Linked DNA regions of Caenorhabditis elegans. The protein of the gene in region 1 interacts with the protein of each later gene in a pairwise test. Each region holds a gene or a part of one and is shown on either strand. Other genes may lie near its edges.

Region 1 (4,809 bases):
TTGGAGCTACAAAAATGAATATATATTTGTATCCTTTGTTTTTTTTCTGACAGGATAGGAAGTCAAAATAGTTGGTCCAAATAAATTATAGCTTTCCGTGTCTGAAGAGTTGAGAGAAAAGTAGTCGGAACGGCAGGGACAACTAAATTCTAGGCTTTTTTGATTGATTAACTGCGATTTGTAAAAGTCGTCTTGAATATTCTCACATCAACTGGTTTCCCCGGGCTTGCAAATGGGCCTCCGATTCTGTGACATAGTATACGAGGTTTTGATCCCAAAAATTCAGAGTTTCTTGGAACGTTAAATATTATTTTTTATTTAGTCACACAAGTTTACTTCCGATTGTCTATATACCACAACATTGAATAATTGTCTTCATGATTTCATAGTTTTAATAAACTTTGAGACACTTTTTAAGGTTATAGTAGATGATATTTGAGGTGTTCAGTTGATTTCATTTTTCTCCTTTTTTCTAACCTTCCCGTTTAAACTGTGATATTGCTTCACGTCACCCAACCCCTCAATTATCCTCAAAAGTTCAACCACTCACCAAAACTATTATACACTTGCAAAAAATTAAATAGTTGATTGAATACTTTACACAACCTCACCAAGTTTATAATTATGGTTCCAGTAGCTGATAATTGGTTTTTCATTGACTTTATGTTCAGATGGATTCACTTTATAAACCCATTGAATGTATATAAAAACCTCGTCATTTATTATTTTCTTGTAAATGAGTTGGTGGTCGACCCAAAAAAGTCGTCGATTCAGCTCGAATAGTTCAGAACAATGCTCCGCGTGGGGTTGCCATTGTGGGTTGTCGAGAGTTTTGAAGGGACGGAGCAGAACAAAAAATGAATGAAAAGCAAATTGCAAGAGAGAAAATGTTGGGAAGGGAGATGTCAAGTTGCTAAGATTAGAAGCAGGAAATCGGTTGTGGAAAAGATTTGTTTTCGAATTTTGTTCCGCCTTGTGAAATTTCTGAAAGTTTAACCTACAATACTTATTTTAAAACAGTAGCAGGAGCAGCAGGAGTAGGAGTAGCTCCAGTTGGGGTGTTGTCAAAATATCTTCAACCTAGGTTAAAAATAATGAAAAAAATAAATACATTCTTTCAAGAGTTTTCACAATTTTCGTCGTAAATTTGGTAAATACCAATTTTTGAAAGATTTGGACTCATTGATAAACGTGCCTCATATGCTAAGCCTATTTGAATACAAATTGCAAACAAAATATAAAACTTGTAAAACATTTTTGGCAGACTTCCAAAACTATGATAGGTCAAAAGTAAGTATTTTCCACTCACTTGACTTAAAATTTTAAAGATGATTTTAGCACCATTGGAAGAAATTTGAAATAGTTTTTTAAAAAACTCAGTAGACATATCAAGTTTGAATATTCTAAAAACTTTTGAAATATTTTTTAATGATTTTCAGCATCAAATCTTTCAACGAGCGTTTAATTTTGGACGTAAAAATTCAATAGGTCCTCGGTCTAGACATAATATATGTATAGAAAAAACAATGTGATTTTAACGTCCAAAAAAGTTATTATTTTTGACGAGTTATCCTGTGGAAATTTTTGTAGAGTTGCAATTCTCATTACATTGAATAACTATTCTTGAACTTATCGTTCAAATATCTACTTTTTGTTTTACTGAAATAGATAGAAAATGTATCAATTGCAAAATGATCTCATCATGAAAAGACATGGAGTCAATGAAAAAGTGGGGAAACGGGATGAATGTACGTGACTTTTTTCAACTTCCTTTTCATTTGGATAATTAATTTTTTGTTTCAAAAGTTGTGACGAAAGCTCATAATCCTGGTGGGAAAATATGTGTTTTCGAAAATCAGGGAACATTTAAATATATTTTATTAATTTAAACATGTAACCAATTTTTCTGTTTCAAACATTTGATATTCTCGCCGTGCATTGAGTAATACACTTTTGATCTTATAATGCCTACGATAAAAAGTGTGTTTTACTAAAAGGAAAGGTCATGTGAAGAAATAATTATTCCTAAGTAAACGAAGAAATTGTGAGCACTGCCGACATTTACACTGAAATGAAGTTTATTATCAGAAACCTACCGTAATCCAGCCATAATTCTGTTGACTGTGTTTCGTGTTGCCGGGAAACTTTTTGACAGATTATAGATCGGAAGTCGCGTTTTTTGTTCCCAAGTTCGGTTTGCAGAAACTAGAAAATTTCACTGAATTCCTTTTAATGAATTGGTATCACAGATGAATTCCGGTTCAGATGCTCTCCTAAATCAGTTCCGAATTACCGATCAAATACTGATAAGAAGAAAAGGAAGGGCAGCACGTGAGCACTGAGCACTGGTACGAAGCTTTTCGACGTCAAGAACTAGAGAAAACCACAGAATCGGAAGATTGATAAGACATTGTAAAATGGTATATAAGGGAGACGTGCGGTAAAGAAGGCAGCTTATCGCTCAACTTCTTTCAACAAATATGGTAAGTCTTTGATTTCTAGTTAGGAAATTTCAAATAAAAATTACTTTCGATTTTTAATTTGGCATTCATCTTGACATTTCAGAAGTTCCTTATCCTTACCGCGCTCTGCGCAGTCACGCTTGCCTTTGTCCCAATCAATCATCAATCGGCTGTTGAGACCCTCACCGGTCAGGCTCTTGTTGATTATGTCAACTCAGCTCAATCTTTGTTCAAGACTGAGCATGTTGAGATTACCGAGGAGGAGATGAAATTCAAGCTTATGGATGGAAAGTACGCTGCTGCCCACTCCGATGAAATCCGTGCCACCGAACAAGAAGTTGTTCTCGCCTCTGTCCCAGCCACCTTCGATTCTCGTACCCAATGGTCCGAGTGCAAGTCCATCAAGCTTATCCGTGACCAAGCCACCTGTGGATCCTGCTGGGCTTTCGGAGCAGCTGAGATGATCTCTGACCGTACCTGCATTGAGACCAAGGGAGCCCAACAACCAATCATCTCTCCAGATGATCTTCTCTCCTGCTGCGGATCTTCCTGCGGAAATGGATGTGAAGGAGGATACCCAATTCAAGCTCTCAGATGGTGGGACTCAAAGGGAGTTGTTACTGGTGGAGACTACCACGGAGCTGGATGCAAACCATACCCAATTGCCCCATGCACATCTGGAAACTGCCCAGAATCCAAGACTCCATCTTGCTCAATGAGCTGCCAATCTGGATATTCAACTGCCTACGCCAAGGACAAGCACTTCGGTTTGTAAAAATTACATAGAATTGTGGAATAATTATATTATTTCAGGAGTCTCTGCCTACGCTGTTCCAAAGAATGCTGCATCCATCCAAGCTGAAATCTACGCTAATGGACCAGTTGAGGCTGCATTCTCTGTTTACGAAGACTTCTACAAATACAAGAGCGGAGTTTACAAGCACACCGCCGGAAAGTACCTCGGAGGACACGCCATTAAGATCATCGGATGGGGAACTGAGAGCGGATCTCCATACTGGCTTGTTGCCAACTCATGGGGAGTTAACTGGGGAGAGAGCGGTTTCTTCAAGATCTACCGTGGAGATGATCAATGCGGAATTGAATCAGCAGTTGTCGCCGGAAAGGCCAAGGTCTAAATGCATTATGTACACAATTTTTGTAATTACCATCTGCCAAATAAAAATGTTCATAATTTAAATTTGTTCTTAAATCTTCTGAAATATATATATCTTTATTAAAATTTACGAAGAGCAATTACAAAAGTGCATGAAATCAAAATTAATCTAGTCACATTATGAACAACTGACATCAAAAATTATTTCTTATTTGCTTCGGCGACAGTTGTACCGTTGAACCCTACCGTAGCTGGTGGTAAGTCGTGGAATGTGATAACAACCTGAAATTTTGAAATATCAATAATCCATTGTTTGATTAATAAAACATAACGAAATATTTGTGACTTAAATGTTTGACATAAACTACACTTACCTTATCTTTTGGAAGACCCAATTCCTTTCCACAAAACTCAGTGATGGCTGCCGTATTGCGAATATTGTCTTCAGCAGACACTGCTCCGATTGATTTGATCTAAAGAATTTATTATTGCGAGAATTTTGAACTTCTGCCAGAAAAAGGATGGTTTCATAAAGTTTTAATTTCCTTTCTAAGTGTAACAAGGAACTTAAATGTAGTTTTAAAGGTTTTGGTTTACCAAGGTGTTACTTTTGGAAAGTGTTCCTAAGTCACTTACCGAAATTACGGTCACAGGATCATGAGTGGCCCCATGAACTAGACGAGCACCGGCGGCTATCTGAAACTTTAAAGTTAATAATTACTAAAGATTACTAATATACCTCGACAGCAATTCTCTCTCTTGGTTTTCCCATTGATCGAGCAAGAAGATCGGTGAGACGAATCTTAAATTGAAAATTCACATTTTAAAAGGAATACTATGTGAAGTTGGCATTTGTTCAGATTTTTGAAAGTTTTCTTTGGTAAATTGGCGCTACGAAAAGTTCGGGACTTTTGAGAATTTGGAACAATGGTTCATGTTTGTAACCGTACAATACTCTAGAAAAACGGAAAATTATTAAAATATCAAAAATTCGTAGAAAATCCACTTTTTGGTCAACTTCCGAAATTGTGGATGCGAAAACTGAATATAAAATATTTCAAAAATTTGTCTGAACTGTCTTAATATTATTTTTCAAAAACATGTCTGTTTTGCCAAGTTGTGGTCCCAAAATACTGTACCTGGTTTCGAGACGACAGGTGCTTGTAAAATGCAAAAAAAAAGGTGTGCACCTTTAAAGAGTACTGTAATTTTAAACTTCCCTTGCTGAGGAAT
Region 2 (6,364 bases), 420 kb from region 1:
ATAACCTGTAACTTGAGGATTGAGCTCGTAAAATGCTCTAATTGCTTCACCTCTGTGAGAAGAATCGATTGGAGCACCATATACACCTTGAGCTGGGGGCAAATTTGCAAGGAATGGATTAGCTGCTCCATAAGAGAGAACTGGTTTTGGGTTGATCATGAATGGAGAAGGTGGTGGAGATGGTGATCTATGTCCTTGTTGAGCTGGGGCGTGATGTCCAGGAGCTCGGACATTGTTGTTTTCGCGCTCACGGGTTTCAGAAAATGGAGATGGAGGAGTTGGTGCAGCAGAATACGAACGTTGGCGTTCAGAAAAATGAACTGGAGCTGGTGCAACTGTTGGAACGGGAGCTTGTTGATTGTATCCGTAACTTTCCGAATTTCCACCAGACACTACATTTGAGCCAGGGGCTGACCCGTACATTTGATATGGTTGGCCTACAGTTTGAATGTTGGAATAACCAGTATGAGTTGGAAGATACTGTGGATATTGATAGTAGTTTCTAGATTCTGGTAGAACTTGGTAGGATTGAGTGAGGACGGATGGTTTCTGTTGCAGCTGTGGTTGATTGTAGGGACGATTGCGTGAAGTTTGTTGCTCGGAAACATGAATTGGAGCAGAAGTGACAGTTGATTGGTGGGATTGGTGGGAACTCAAACCATCGTATTCGTTGGCAATTGTTTCACCGATAAGAATAATGGAAAGCAGAAGAGCAAGACTACCTTGACGACCCATTTTCTGAAAATGACACACATTTCTTTTCTATATTCCTTGTTTTGATTAATGCGGAACTGATGTTGGCATGTAGAAATAATCATGGTTGTTTTCGTCTTTTTTCTATGAAAATAAATAAGGAAAAGGAGAAGAAGAAGAATGAAAAGTTTCGAGTGAAAATATTAAAAAAAAAAAAAGATAATTTGCAGAGAACAATGGGGAGATTAAGAAATTAAAGAATTTTGAAAGGGAGTGTCGTTGATTTGGATACGATCACTCAAATAATGTTCTCAAATACACTTAAATTTGGTTTTGATTTTTATAGATTCATAAGTCTATCCAAAATAATCGTGACGAGACCCACCGAGAATCTGAGCATCTGTCTTTCAAGCAATATCTCAAGATTTCACGATTCGCCGATAAAGGATCAAACATACCATTTAATTTCAAACTCTGAAATTTGAAATCATTAATAGTAAGTATGTCTGAATTATTCTAAAACTTAATGATGGGTCCTATGTACACTTTTTTTCGAAAATAATCGAAAAGCAGAATGTTGATAAATTTTAATTTAATTTAATTTCAATGGGGAATGTTCAAAATATGAAATGCTACGCTTGGCGATCCGTTTGTAGTATTTCCCTGACAATTTTTTATAATCCGAAAAGTTGCTGGAAATATGAAAATTTGCCAGTACATTTTAAACTACATTCATTGCAAGGTTGCAGATTTTAAGAGGAAGATATGTACCAAATTACCAAGTTGGTTTATTTTGCAAAAGTGAATGAAATAAGAGAACATGATGATTTTCTAAGTTTCCAAATCCATCTTTTATACTAGGAAGCTTCACCTTCACAACTTAAAAACCTGTACTAGTTTTCCTTTACTTCTCATATTTAATCCAATAAGTCTCTTCTTTCATTGATTCCTATTTCCAAATGTTTTTTCACCAATAAGCTTCACCTTTCTCTTTGTTATTTTGTAGATCTTTCGTTTCAGTTGGTATATAATTTTGTTCACAAAGATACGTTTATGTAACCTTCTTTGTCAACAGAAAAGGTATATTTCGTTAATCCTTTTGACTTTGATTCTTGAGATTGGAGAAATAAAGAAGAACGAAAGTTTTAAGGGTGGAACAGTGTTTTTCGCTGACTTTTAGAAGAATTGAAAGGCTTCATTTGATTGGATAGAGTTTTCGATTTCTTTGATATTTTCAAAGTTTTTGGATTTTATATGGCTTCTAAACTTTGATGCACGTCATAGTTTCAGAGACTTTGATAATGTTGAGATCCTTGCTGAGAATATGATTCAGTGTTTATTCAGTCTTTTATATGACTAGAATAATTTAAATTTAGATATTGTTATATATTGTATCTTTAGTAGTTTTCTGACCAAAATGATATAATTAAAAACATTAGCAACTTCTCAAAACAACTGGCAATTTATTCCAACTATTTAAAGCCGCCATGAGTTTTCAACTGAATTAAATGCTACAAACAATAACATGAGAATCAAGGTTACTATGAAATAATAATATAGTACATAAGTTCTGATTTCAATAAAAAATAACTATTCTGAACAAAGACCAAAGCTTATCACGATGATTATATATTTACCGTAGTCCACCAGTCACCACAATATTTTTCACATTGTAACCCGTAATTTGCACTGCTCGCTTAGCTTTCTTACATGGTCATACTTCTAAAATCACGCAACAAGATATTTATTCTCTCGCTTTCTTCAAGCATTTTCATTCGAAAGCTCAGATAAGCTGTTCAACACTCTGAAATCAGTGTTGTGTCGATTTATGTCTAAAACAGTTTGAAGAGCAGGAAGAAAATTCTGTGGCGATAAGGTGCACTGATCCGAATTCTTTTTATCCAGCATTTCTTTTACTCAAATGACGTTTCTAATCACTTCTTATCAGAAAAATAAATCCTCTTCCACTGAAGAAAAAACGAGCTGTGCCATTTTCTAACTCTTCAGATCCTCTTATTATGCTAATCTAATCCAATATTCACTTCAACATCACTTGTAAATCTTCAGTTTTTGTTCGATATTCTCACAATTGAACCACAAGTCAAGAAACATTAAAACTATTTTTGTTCTTATCCTTTTTGATCTGAAATCGATATTTATATATGTTGTTCAATAATCATTTTACAGTGGGTGTAGGCATGCCGAGCAACCACCGGCTTTCGCTTTGGATGACCGATGATGTTCAGTTTTTGAGGAGTGATACTACCAAAAAGGTGAGTTCTTGAAATTTGAAAATTTATGCGTTTAGCAGGCATAAATATCAAACTTGAATTCTCACAGCAACAATAAAATAATAGTGAACAAACTACTAGAATCTAACCAAGAAATAGGTGCACCTACATACTTGGATATGTTCTATGACCAGGGATTTCTGTTTCAAAGATATTTCCAAAAGGCGCATTTTCTTGGACACTTTTTATATTAGTTAAGAGCATCTTGAATTTAGATATGAAGAGTTCAAAATTCCACTTAAGTTACACTTCAATGAGCTAATAAAAATAAGTAGCTTTCAAAGCATAATTATCGTTTAATTCTGAAATTGTTGCACTCCTTCATCAAGTTTCAGTTGTTATGATGATATTGTTATCTTTGTAACGTTTCTGGATTTCTAATGTTAGTAGTAAAAAGGCACATTTTTGAACTTTAATTCTTAATTTCAAGGTTATTTGGAAGCACTTTATCAGTGTTTTTTCTTGATAAATACTGGGAATTCAGATTTTTTTACCCGGAAGTGTTGACTGAAAATAATTATTTATTTAATTGTGAAGTGACGAATAACATGCTCGTATGCAAAAAATATTGTTCATATGCCTATTGATTGTGAAAACTTTCTGATTTTAAACCATTGCTCTAATTCATTTTATTCCAACCTCTCTTCCTTGTTTCCTTCTTCCACATCATTTTTCTCATCATCATTGTCATGATGGTTCTTAAACCGAAATGAATCAATTCAAGTAATTTTAATTCTCTTTTTCTCTCTCTTTCAAGAGTGTCATGAAATGAAGAAGATGCTTTTTCGTTCGATTCGAGTGTGTACCCTCTAATCCAACGCCTTCACACATTCTCAACCAATGCCTCCCACTCTTTTTCATTTATTTTGATTTCAAGATTCTAAAACCTGAAATCTCTATTCCAAAACATAACTCTGTTGCTTCATAATGGATCAATTCACGTTGGGTCCCTTGATTGCCCAGCAACGTCGCCGTGGAAAACGGAAAAGCTTAACTGTTACTGTGAGTTTCTAGAAAAAAACATGCTCAAACATAATTAAATTTTTTTTCCGTCATGGCTTCTTTAATAGAGTTTTATATGGCTTCCAACTTTAAGTTTAGCGACTAAAATAGCTACAAGAAACCGGATTTTTGTTTTCAAATTTTAGATCCTTATACTCTATATAACCAGACTGTGCACCTAGATCATTGACGACTGAAACTTTCTATTCAGATGTTCTTATTTGTAGAAAAGTTAAGCAAAATATGTGTTCCCAAATAGAGTTGCATCATGATCTCCAGTGTCTCTTTTCCCCTCGCCTTCCAGTCGTGGTAACACGCTGTTGTGTAGTCCAATTTTTTAACTGAAAATGCACGGCAAAAACTAAATTTGGAATGTCTTAACACCAATACGACTAGACCTCGACTGGGTAAAATGCCTAGTCATGCCCTATTAATCTCAGAAAATTGACGCAAACTTCTGAAAATGTTATCCTAGTATTTAGCAGAAACACATAGCAGCGCCATCAGCTGAAAACTATTAGTTGGTTCATGTTTAACATTTTATAAGTATATGCGAAATTAGATGCAATAAAAGGTTCATCCCTCTCGAGAACCCAAGAAGGAAAGGGCACAATCGCCTCGTTATCTTTTTGTATATTATAGATTTCCAAGGGCGTCATCAAATTTTGATATCTGAAAAATATAAAATGAAAAGTGTACATTTTTCATTCTAACAATGAAATAGGCCAGGAAGAAGCACCTGCTTTTGTTGATGTTAGTACAAATGATTTCGATGGAAAATGTGTTTTGAATGAAAATTTAATAATATGGAGGATATGATGTGAATACAGTAGGTCAAAACAGGATTCAGGCGAGTTGAAAATCAGATATTTTAAATTTGCAACTTTTGTGGCTATTACAACGTTGAATAAGTGGAGTGAATAACTTGTAAGTTTTACCTATAAAAATAAATACTTACATAGTCCGTCTACGATGTAAAATAAATTTAAAAACTATTTATTCTGTAATTATCTACATACATTAATTTTTCTATTAGTATTGCAACCGTACAGCTTTTATTTTAAAGTTTATATCTCGGTTGTTTTGAATTCTATCAACAAAAAAATTTCAGCTCAGAATACAGAATACGGGTTGAAGTTTTTCTATAGTTTTCTATTGGACAAATTTTGATAAAGCCGAAAAAATCAAATTACCAGTAATCAAAATTTAAAACGGTTTCTTCATGCACTCTAAATTATATTTTCCGTTTGTTAGCAAAATTTCGTCTAAAAAAAAACAAAACGTTGGATTTAGTACAGTATTTTCTATTGAATTCCGCAAGGTTTATTATTAAAACTTTAATTTGAATCACATGTCACACTGTTCCAAAGTCCAACACCCACTCCTACGTGAACCTTCAACCCGAAAAATAACCTGAAAAAGATATTTTGAGCACTTTGCATACAAGAAGCCTAGAAACCGGATACATTTCAAATACTTGAACCAGTCATGTTCTACGTACCTCTTGCATTTATGTATGTCATCCTAGATCTATCCAGGTCACCACTACCTCACTCCCTCTTCTTTCATCCCCGATTAGTTTCATTCCAATATTGAGCAGCTACCTTTTCCAGAATTTCTCTGTTTTCTGCCAAAATCGCTTTCCGTAGATATTTACGTCATAAGGAATGGTGAGTCCGATCCGTCATTTTGACACCAAAATTGGCGCTTTTCTTTTCTCCGTTTCCCATGTTTTCACTCAATCGGAAATGAATAAAAGCACAATTGAATAGTTGTCTGGGTGATGATGGATATTTATGAAATTGAATGACGACGTAGTTAAATAGAAAATTTTGAGTGAGATTTTGAATTCTAAGAATGACCTACAATTTTTCACATTTAAAATTTATATTCTTATTTAGAATTGTTCCAAAAATAACTCGTTCTGATCCATATCAGGTGCAAACTTCCTAAAGGTTACATAAAGAGAAATGCTAATTTATTTATTTGATTTTGCACTTTACCTCAGTATTACCTAAATTTCGTTTGATTACAGTCAGAAAACCAAGACGTCTAAGCTTCTTAGGTATTTAAATTTCAAACGTCAAAGGTGGTTTCGAAAGGAAGGATATATCTTGACGTAGGTCATTGATTGCATATGTTTACCCACGGCAGCCATTATCATATTTCAAAATCTGCAAATCTATTTTAGGATTTATATCAAAATGGTAGTTATGACGATAGTACTGACCATAGATAGAACAACAGATTTCTTGAATTTTTCACTTGTCAATGGTGAGGCAAAGAGTAGGGATGTTCTCTAAAAAATGAAGCAACATTGAGATATACTTTCCAGAAGAATTTAAAAAGAATATATAATAAGAAAAAAGAACAATCAA
Region 3 (6,375 bases), 6.4 Mb from region 1:
TTCTTGTTGAAACAGTAATACAGTCTTTGTTAAATTGGTATTTGTAAACAGAGGAGAGTTCAAAAATTTCCTATAATGATGAAATAATAATAATAATAATTTATTACGCTCGCTGGGAGACGTGAAGGAATACAGAATACAAAAGTTATCATTGTTCGCTTGAACTAGAATTGGTGCAGTCGGGCAATCGTTTCCATTCCATTAGAATGTTGTTCTTGTCCTTGCGTTGTCCTTGCGTAGACTCCCCCATAGTGGGCGAGCGATTCCCGAGTGAAATGATCTAACATCACAGTTTTTCTACACGTTTTTTGTTTCAATTACAATTTTCTTTTACGCATTTGAGTATCAGATTTAAACGCGCCTCGCAATTTCTTAAATAAAAGTTACAATTTATTTCTTTAAAAATTTGAAAAACCTAAATATTATTGGAGTGGGTTTCATATTTTTAAAAGGAGAAAAAATATTTTTAAAAAATTAAATCATAAATTCATGTCACCATAATAAAAAATATTTTTCGACGCTTTGAATACTTCAGCGAAATAATCTCTTGAATTAAGCTTTGTGATATTTATTTTTGTCGATGTAGTACATACTCCACAATTTGTCGGCTACCCCTAACTAAGCATATACCGTTTTCCACATTAGCCTTGCTCCCCCTTTCCTCTACGTTAACCGCTTTTATCCCGGTTTTTTAAAAGTGTTATCAGAAAATTGTCAACTCCAGCAACGTCAGGACTTGTTTGGAGTTTGTGTGCCTACTACAGTTTTCTAATCATTTTTCCACTGCTATACACCACTACACCTCAAATTGCAAACATTACGAAATTCCGCCCAATGTTTGGTTGTCATTTCTTTCGAAACGTCGGTCGCTTGCTAATCGTTGGGTATATAAGCAACGTTGACTACTAAAGTTTTCACTTCGGTCCGGAGATTATGGGTTATCAATTTGACAATTTCCTGCCAGCAGGAAGCCCTGGTACCAGGGTTTGGTACCGCTCATGTTAATCTCTCCGTGTTCTTCATAGAATACAAACCCCTTCCCATAATCACCAACTTGACCGTTGTTTTTTGTTAATTTTTTGAATATCAGGGTAAATGTTTTTCAAGTCTTATTGAATAAATATCATGAATCTTTGCAATTATAATTTTTCTCGAAACGTTTTTCCAATTTAATCGGGTTCACATTTTTATAATTAAAAAAAAATGTTATTATGCGAATAGCTAACAAAAATAGAAAAGCAGTGTTTAATTAGAACTTGATACATATAAATAAATGAGAACTTGTAAACTTTTGGAATTTTGCGAAGAAGTGTAAAGCTTGATGACGGAGTACAATGTCGAGCAACAATCAATACATAACGGATCGTTCCATTCTTCGAGATTCGGACATCTGAAATTGAAGTTTTCTTTTTCTTGTAACAAGCAGAATTCAAAAATAAACCCTTTATTTACAACAACACGATTTTTCAGCTTGTTATAATTATGTTTTTTTTTTTGCTTGAAAAGAAAATTCGAAGCAGACAATATAAAGCTTTACCAAAAAGTTGGTGGGGGCGGACAAGGAAACATTCAATTATTCAACCCTATTATTTATGAACAAGATTTTGTGAATGAGGGGATGGGGCAGAAAGAAAAATCAATCAAAAAAAAAAGAATCATGCACAACACAACGAAAGAAGAAAAAAGCAAGTTTTCGTAGATCTGAGACAAAATTTCAGAATTTGGAACTTGAATCAACGAGCACTTATTAATACAAGAACGATAAGCGGTTTTCAGTCAGTGCTGCAAAGAGATGCTCTTAAGAGTTGAATCCGAGTGCATTCATTAGTTTATTCTTCAATCCAGTTTGAGATGTGCTCGTTGTCATCGAGTTTCTGGATCCACCGATTGTAGAAGCCATCATCGACTGGCTCATTTCATCGATTCCGCCCATCGCTCCACTTCGTAATGGCTCATGCTGAAAGAGGAAACAATACTGAAAAGAGGAAACGAGTGACCAAATTCTAAAGCACATCACTATCACTAAAATACAAAAATAAGCGTTTTATGTGTTTTTTTTTGTTACTGGAATTGTTATTGATGGGGGCTTGGGGAGGACAAGAATATGCTTCGTATTAAATTTAAACTTTAATTTTAAAAAACAATTCGTTTGAATGAGCTTCAGATTTGTGCAATATTTCAGTATTTGCCAATTTTGGTTCAAAAGTTGGCAAGACATTGTTCAGGCAGCATCTAATTTTCGGGTTAGTTTGAAACATAGTTTTGGTCAAAATTTTATTGTCGAATTTTTGATGTGTGCGGCAATTTTCGAAATTTACCGTGTCCGGCAAGTTCGGCAACCGGCAAATTCGGCAAATTTGACGCACTCCCCTGGTTTGAAACAACTGTTGTCAATGTTTTAAGTTCCAAAAATACATGTAAATATGAAGCAAATTCTTGTCACTGGGGTATCGGGGACGCATACAACATTTTACAACATTAATATCTAACTTCTAAATTTTTTTTCTGAACTTTTGTATTTTAAATGCAGTAAAGCGTGCTAGATAGAGAAGCCATGAATGCAGAAAAAACATCATTACATACCTGTTTCTTTGCTCTCAAGGCGACATCTTCCAATGTTTCGGCGGCTTCATATTTTCCTTGTCGCCGGTAAAGGGCTCCAAGGTTCTTGAGAGTTGTTGTGACGGTTGGACTGGAATCAGTTTTGTTTAATTTATTTTTTTCTAATAAAAATCATAATACCTATCAACTTTGGCGGCTTTTGCCCATCCAGCTTGTTCGTTGGCAGTTGCACCTTCTCCCTTGTGCTTGTTCTCCTCTCGTTCTTCAGCGATTTGCCAAATTGGTTTATTCTCTCCACTGATCTGTCCGAACTCTCTTTCATGAGCTCTGGTGAGAATTTGCTTGTACAACTCCTCAGCCTCCTTATATTTTCCTTGTTTCAAGTAAGCAGATGACAAATTGTTCTTGGTCTTTGCCACATTCGGGTCATCAGGTCCAAGTTTGCTCTCGTAGATTTCGAGAGCTCTCTTGTAATACTTCTCGACTTCTTCATACTTTCCTTGATTTTGGCAAAGAAGAGCAAGATTATTGAGTTGCTTGGCCACATCTGGATGATCATCTCCAAGAACTTTCTCGCGAATTTCAAGAGCACGCTTGCAAAGCGGTTCAGCATCCTTGAACTTTCCACGTTTTCCGAACAAAACTGCGAGATTGTTGAGAGTGGCGGCAACAGCTGGATGACTTTCTCCAAGACATTTCTCACGAATACTGAGAGCCTCATTCAGAAGATTTGCAGCCTCTTTGTACTTGTTCTGATCTCTGTAGACAAGTGCCAAAATATTGAGCATTGTGGCAACATCTGGATGATCGTGACCACTCGTTTTCTCCAAATCTTCCAAAGCTTGCTTGCACAATGGAACTGCAACTTCATAACGACCTTGGGAGGCGTATTGAATGACCAAGTTGTGAAGTGTGCGAAGACGAGCTGGAATTTCGTATCCAACATTAGCAGAAGCCGCCATTTGGTTGGCTGGTGTTGGTTGGTTGAATTGACTAGCATTCATATCTTCTTCGTCTTCTGGTCCAAAACCAAGTTCTTGAAGAGTTTCGTTTGTGACTGGTTGTGGTCCAACATCGACAGATGTCTTAGTATCACTTTGCTGAAAACAAACAAAATAAGTTAAGAATGCTCCTCGAAAAATTCAACTTACAGTTCCATCATCAAATTGTTTGATTGATGCCATATACTTAAGATGCTTGTTCTCCTCTTCCAATTGAGCAACCATTTGCTCCGACTGTTGAAGTTTGATTTGAGTTGAACTCAACTCATCACGAAGCCACGCATTCTCCTGGCACAAGCGTCTCCGTTGAGCTTGGTATTTCTGATGTTGAGCATCCATTCCTTGAGTGAGTTGGAATACCATCAGCATCAACGATGTCTCATCAACTCCGCACACCAACTTATCCAAATTATCGTTAATTTGTGAAAGCTTCTGCTTCGGCAATGGAGCTTCATCTTCTTTCACACCTAAATGATTGAATTTTAGTAAATGTTCAACTCGTCGTAAAAAAAGCCATACCTTTGACACTAGTCTCCAAAGTATTCGAAATTGTCGAGTGTTCCTCACGAAGAGCTTCAAGTCCCTGCTGAACGGTACGTAGGCCCGTCGTCACGTCGTCCTGCGACATGTTTGACATTTTCGCCAGCGACTCGATTTTTCGCCTGAAATTTTAAATCTATTAAATGTAATTGGAAGAAGTTCGAGAAGTGTTGGTAGCTAACGAGAAAATTTTTTCAGTGAGTAAAAACAGTTGAATCTATGTAGATCATAGCTATTAGGTCGTTCAATAAGTTTTGCGATAGTCTTTTTTTTTAATTTCAGATTTATCAGAAAAAATTAACCCTTTTTTTCTTTTAAATGTAAATAATGCCAAAGTATGGCACAACAAAAATTAATTAAAATCTTGCATTCTCTCAAAAACGTAGAACTAGATTCAAAAAATATTTTTCCATGAATACTGCTCACTTTGGAATTCTAAAAAATGCAAAAATTTGAAAATCAGCCTGACAGTTTTATACCATAGATCTATTTGGTGCAAGAATTTGGAAAATCTATTATTTAGGTAAATATTATCCAGTTTCAATTTTATGGCTGAAGTTAAAAAAAACGCCAAAATGAGCTCTCAAAGATTGAGGAGGGCGTCTTAAATAACAGCCCTGCCATTTGCTATTGAAATACAGGAGATCGTGGCGAGACCCCCTGAGAAAATACGCATGTGCCTTTAAAATGACATTCCACATTTTCACAAAATAACGATAAACTTATTTTACACCGAAACGTTGCTTTGAAATAAGTTGAAATAAAGCAAAAATGTTCCAAATGTTCAACACGTTTTAGAGAAAATAAAAATCATCGTGGATTGATATTTTCTTTTAAAAATTTGTAATTTTTATTTACTCGGTTTTTGAAATTTTTAATTTGAAAAAATCAAGGCTGCACTATGCGCTATAATTTTTGAAAATCAATAGCATTTCGTGGTAGAACTAATATATTTCTTTGATTTTGCTAGGTTGAGTTGCACTAGAACAATTTTGGAAAAACTTTTAGAAAACTGAGAAACTTTTTGGAATATGTCAAAGATAAGCTAAATATGTGCAACACTATAGGTACAAATTTCGCAATATAAGCAGAAATGAAACCAAATTTTAACTTTCTAATAATTTCTCTCCTGCAAAAGCTCATAAGAAATGGTTCTGAACATAAAGATGCTAATAAAGTGTGGACAAGTAAAACATAACGTTGTTCGGAAAGAGTGTTTGGTTGTATTAACCGAAAGCCCGCTCTCGTCGTGTCGGCGAATAGACAGCGAGACGTGCGCAGCCACTGATGAGAGATCATAGAAATATTAGAGACAACATAGAAACTATTGATCGTCCGTCCAACATGGAGGAAATGAGAGAGCAAGAGACGGAGGCGAGAAAGAATTGCGAAACAATTGGAAAGATGCATCCTTTCATAGTTAATTGCAATGTTTGGACACCTGAGTTTTTATGAAGAATACATCTAGGATTTGTTTAGCTTCATATGCAAAAAAGTATCGAAATTGCTTTGTTTCTCAAGAGAAAGGTGGGATTTCAGAAAATATAAAAACCAAAAAATAAAACATATTAACATAAACTTCTCATGAATTATTAGAATTTGGGCAAAGAGTTTTGATTCATATATTCACTATTTCTGAAAACTTGTCATAAGATCTTGCAATTTTGAATTAGAGGACTAGGAAAGTAGATTTCGATTTTTATTTTTATTTTACGGTAGATGCAAATTGAAATTTTTTGAAAATTAGGGTATCCGCTTAGAATGTACTGTACATTTTTTGTTACAGCCCTAGCGGAAATAACTTTCAAACATTTTTTGATGAGTAATGCATGTGATAAGAAAATGATTCAACACTCTAAATTCCAATTCTCATTTCAAATTAAAAATATAACTTACTGGCGATATGCCTGAATAGTAGAACCGGCCAAATTCATGATGGTATCCAGCTTGAAAGCTTCCACGAGCACTTTTTCGTATTCGGCTCCAGGATTAGTGTCTTAAACTTTTCAGTTTAGATTTATGATGAACAGAAGAAGGAGTTAAAGAGTTTGAAAAGTTCAGGAAATAGCATTTTATTACGAGGTGCATGTATAAAGCATATATATTTCTACCAAAAAATCAAAGTTTAGGCCTGTTTGTTATAGTTAAAAACGGTTATTTATCTCTAGTGTCAAATATCGAACAATATTTTGGTTCAGCATGTATTACGTAGACGTCTGTAAATGATAATTTTCGCCATATCTTACGCGCAAGGTCTCACCACGCGGGCAAG

What was found.
Region 2: the proteins of cpr-1 (region 1) and twk-14 interact in a two-hybrid assay, tested with the Caenorhabditis elegans proteins (one large-scale study listed by BioGRID).
Region 3: the proteins of cpr-1 (region 1) and klc-2 interact in a two-hybrid assay, tested with the Caenorhabditis elegans proteins (one large-scale study listed by BioGRID).

Annotation. Positions count from the first base shown.
Region 1 is NC_003283.11:11,973,100-11,977,908, forward strand, and holds cpr-1 (Gut-specific cysteine proteinase), read left to right. Parts: upstream 1-2,451; 5' UTR 2,452-2,480; coding exon 2,481-2,483; intron 2,484-2,565; coding exon 2,566-3,229; intron 3,230-3,275; coding exon 3,276-3,598; 3' UTR 3,599-3,657; downstream 3,658-4,809. Other genes in the region: MIF-like protein mif-2, read right to left, coding at 3,778-3,858, 3,951-4,049, 4,213-4,272, 4,316-4,378. UniProt on the Caenorhabditis elegans protein: Thiol protease. Has a role as a digestive enzyme.
Region 2 is NC_003283.11:12,392,221-12,398,584, reverse strand, and holds the start of twk-14 (Potassium channel domain-containing protein), read left to right. Parts: upstream 1-2,891; coding exon 2,892-2,966; intron 2,967-3,840; exon of another isoform or gene 3,841-3,911; coding exon of another isoform or gene 3,912-3,986; intron 3,987-6,364. Other genes in the region: K01D12.5 (Prion-like-(Q/N-rich)-domain-bearing protein), read right to left, coding at 1-5, 51-735.
Region 3 is NC_003283.11:5,575,305-5,581,679, forward strand, and holds klc-2 (Kinesin light chain), read right to left. Parts: upstream 4,201-6,375; coding exon 4,083-4,200; intron 4,031-4,082; coding exon 3,714-4,030; intron 3,663-3,713; coding exon 2,743-3,662; intron 2,693-2,742; coding exon 2,584-2,692; intron 1,958-2,583; coding exon 1,799-1,957; 3' UTR 1,433-1,798; downstream 1-1,432. UniProt on the Caenorhabditis elegans protein: Kinesin is a microtubule-associated force-producing protein that may play a role in organelle transport. The light chain may function in coupling of cargo to the heavy chain or in the modulation of its ATPase activity.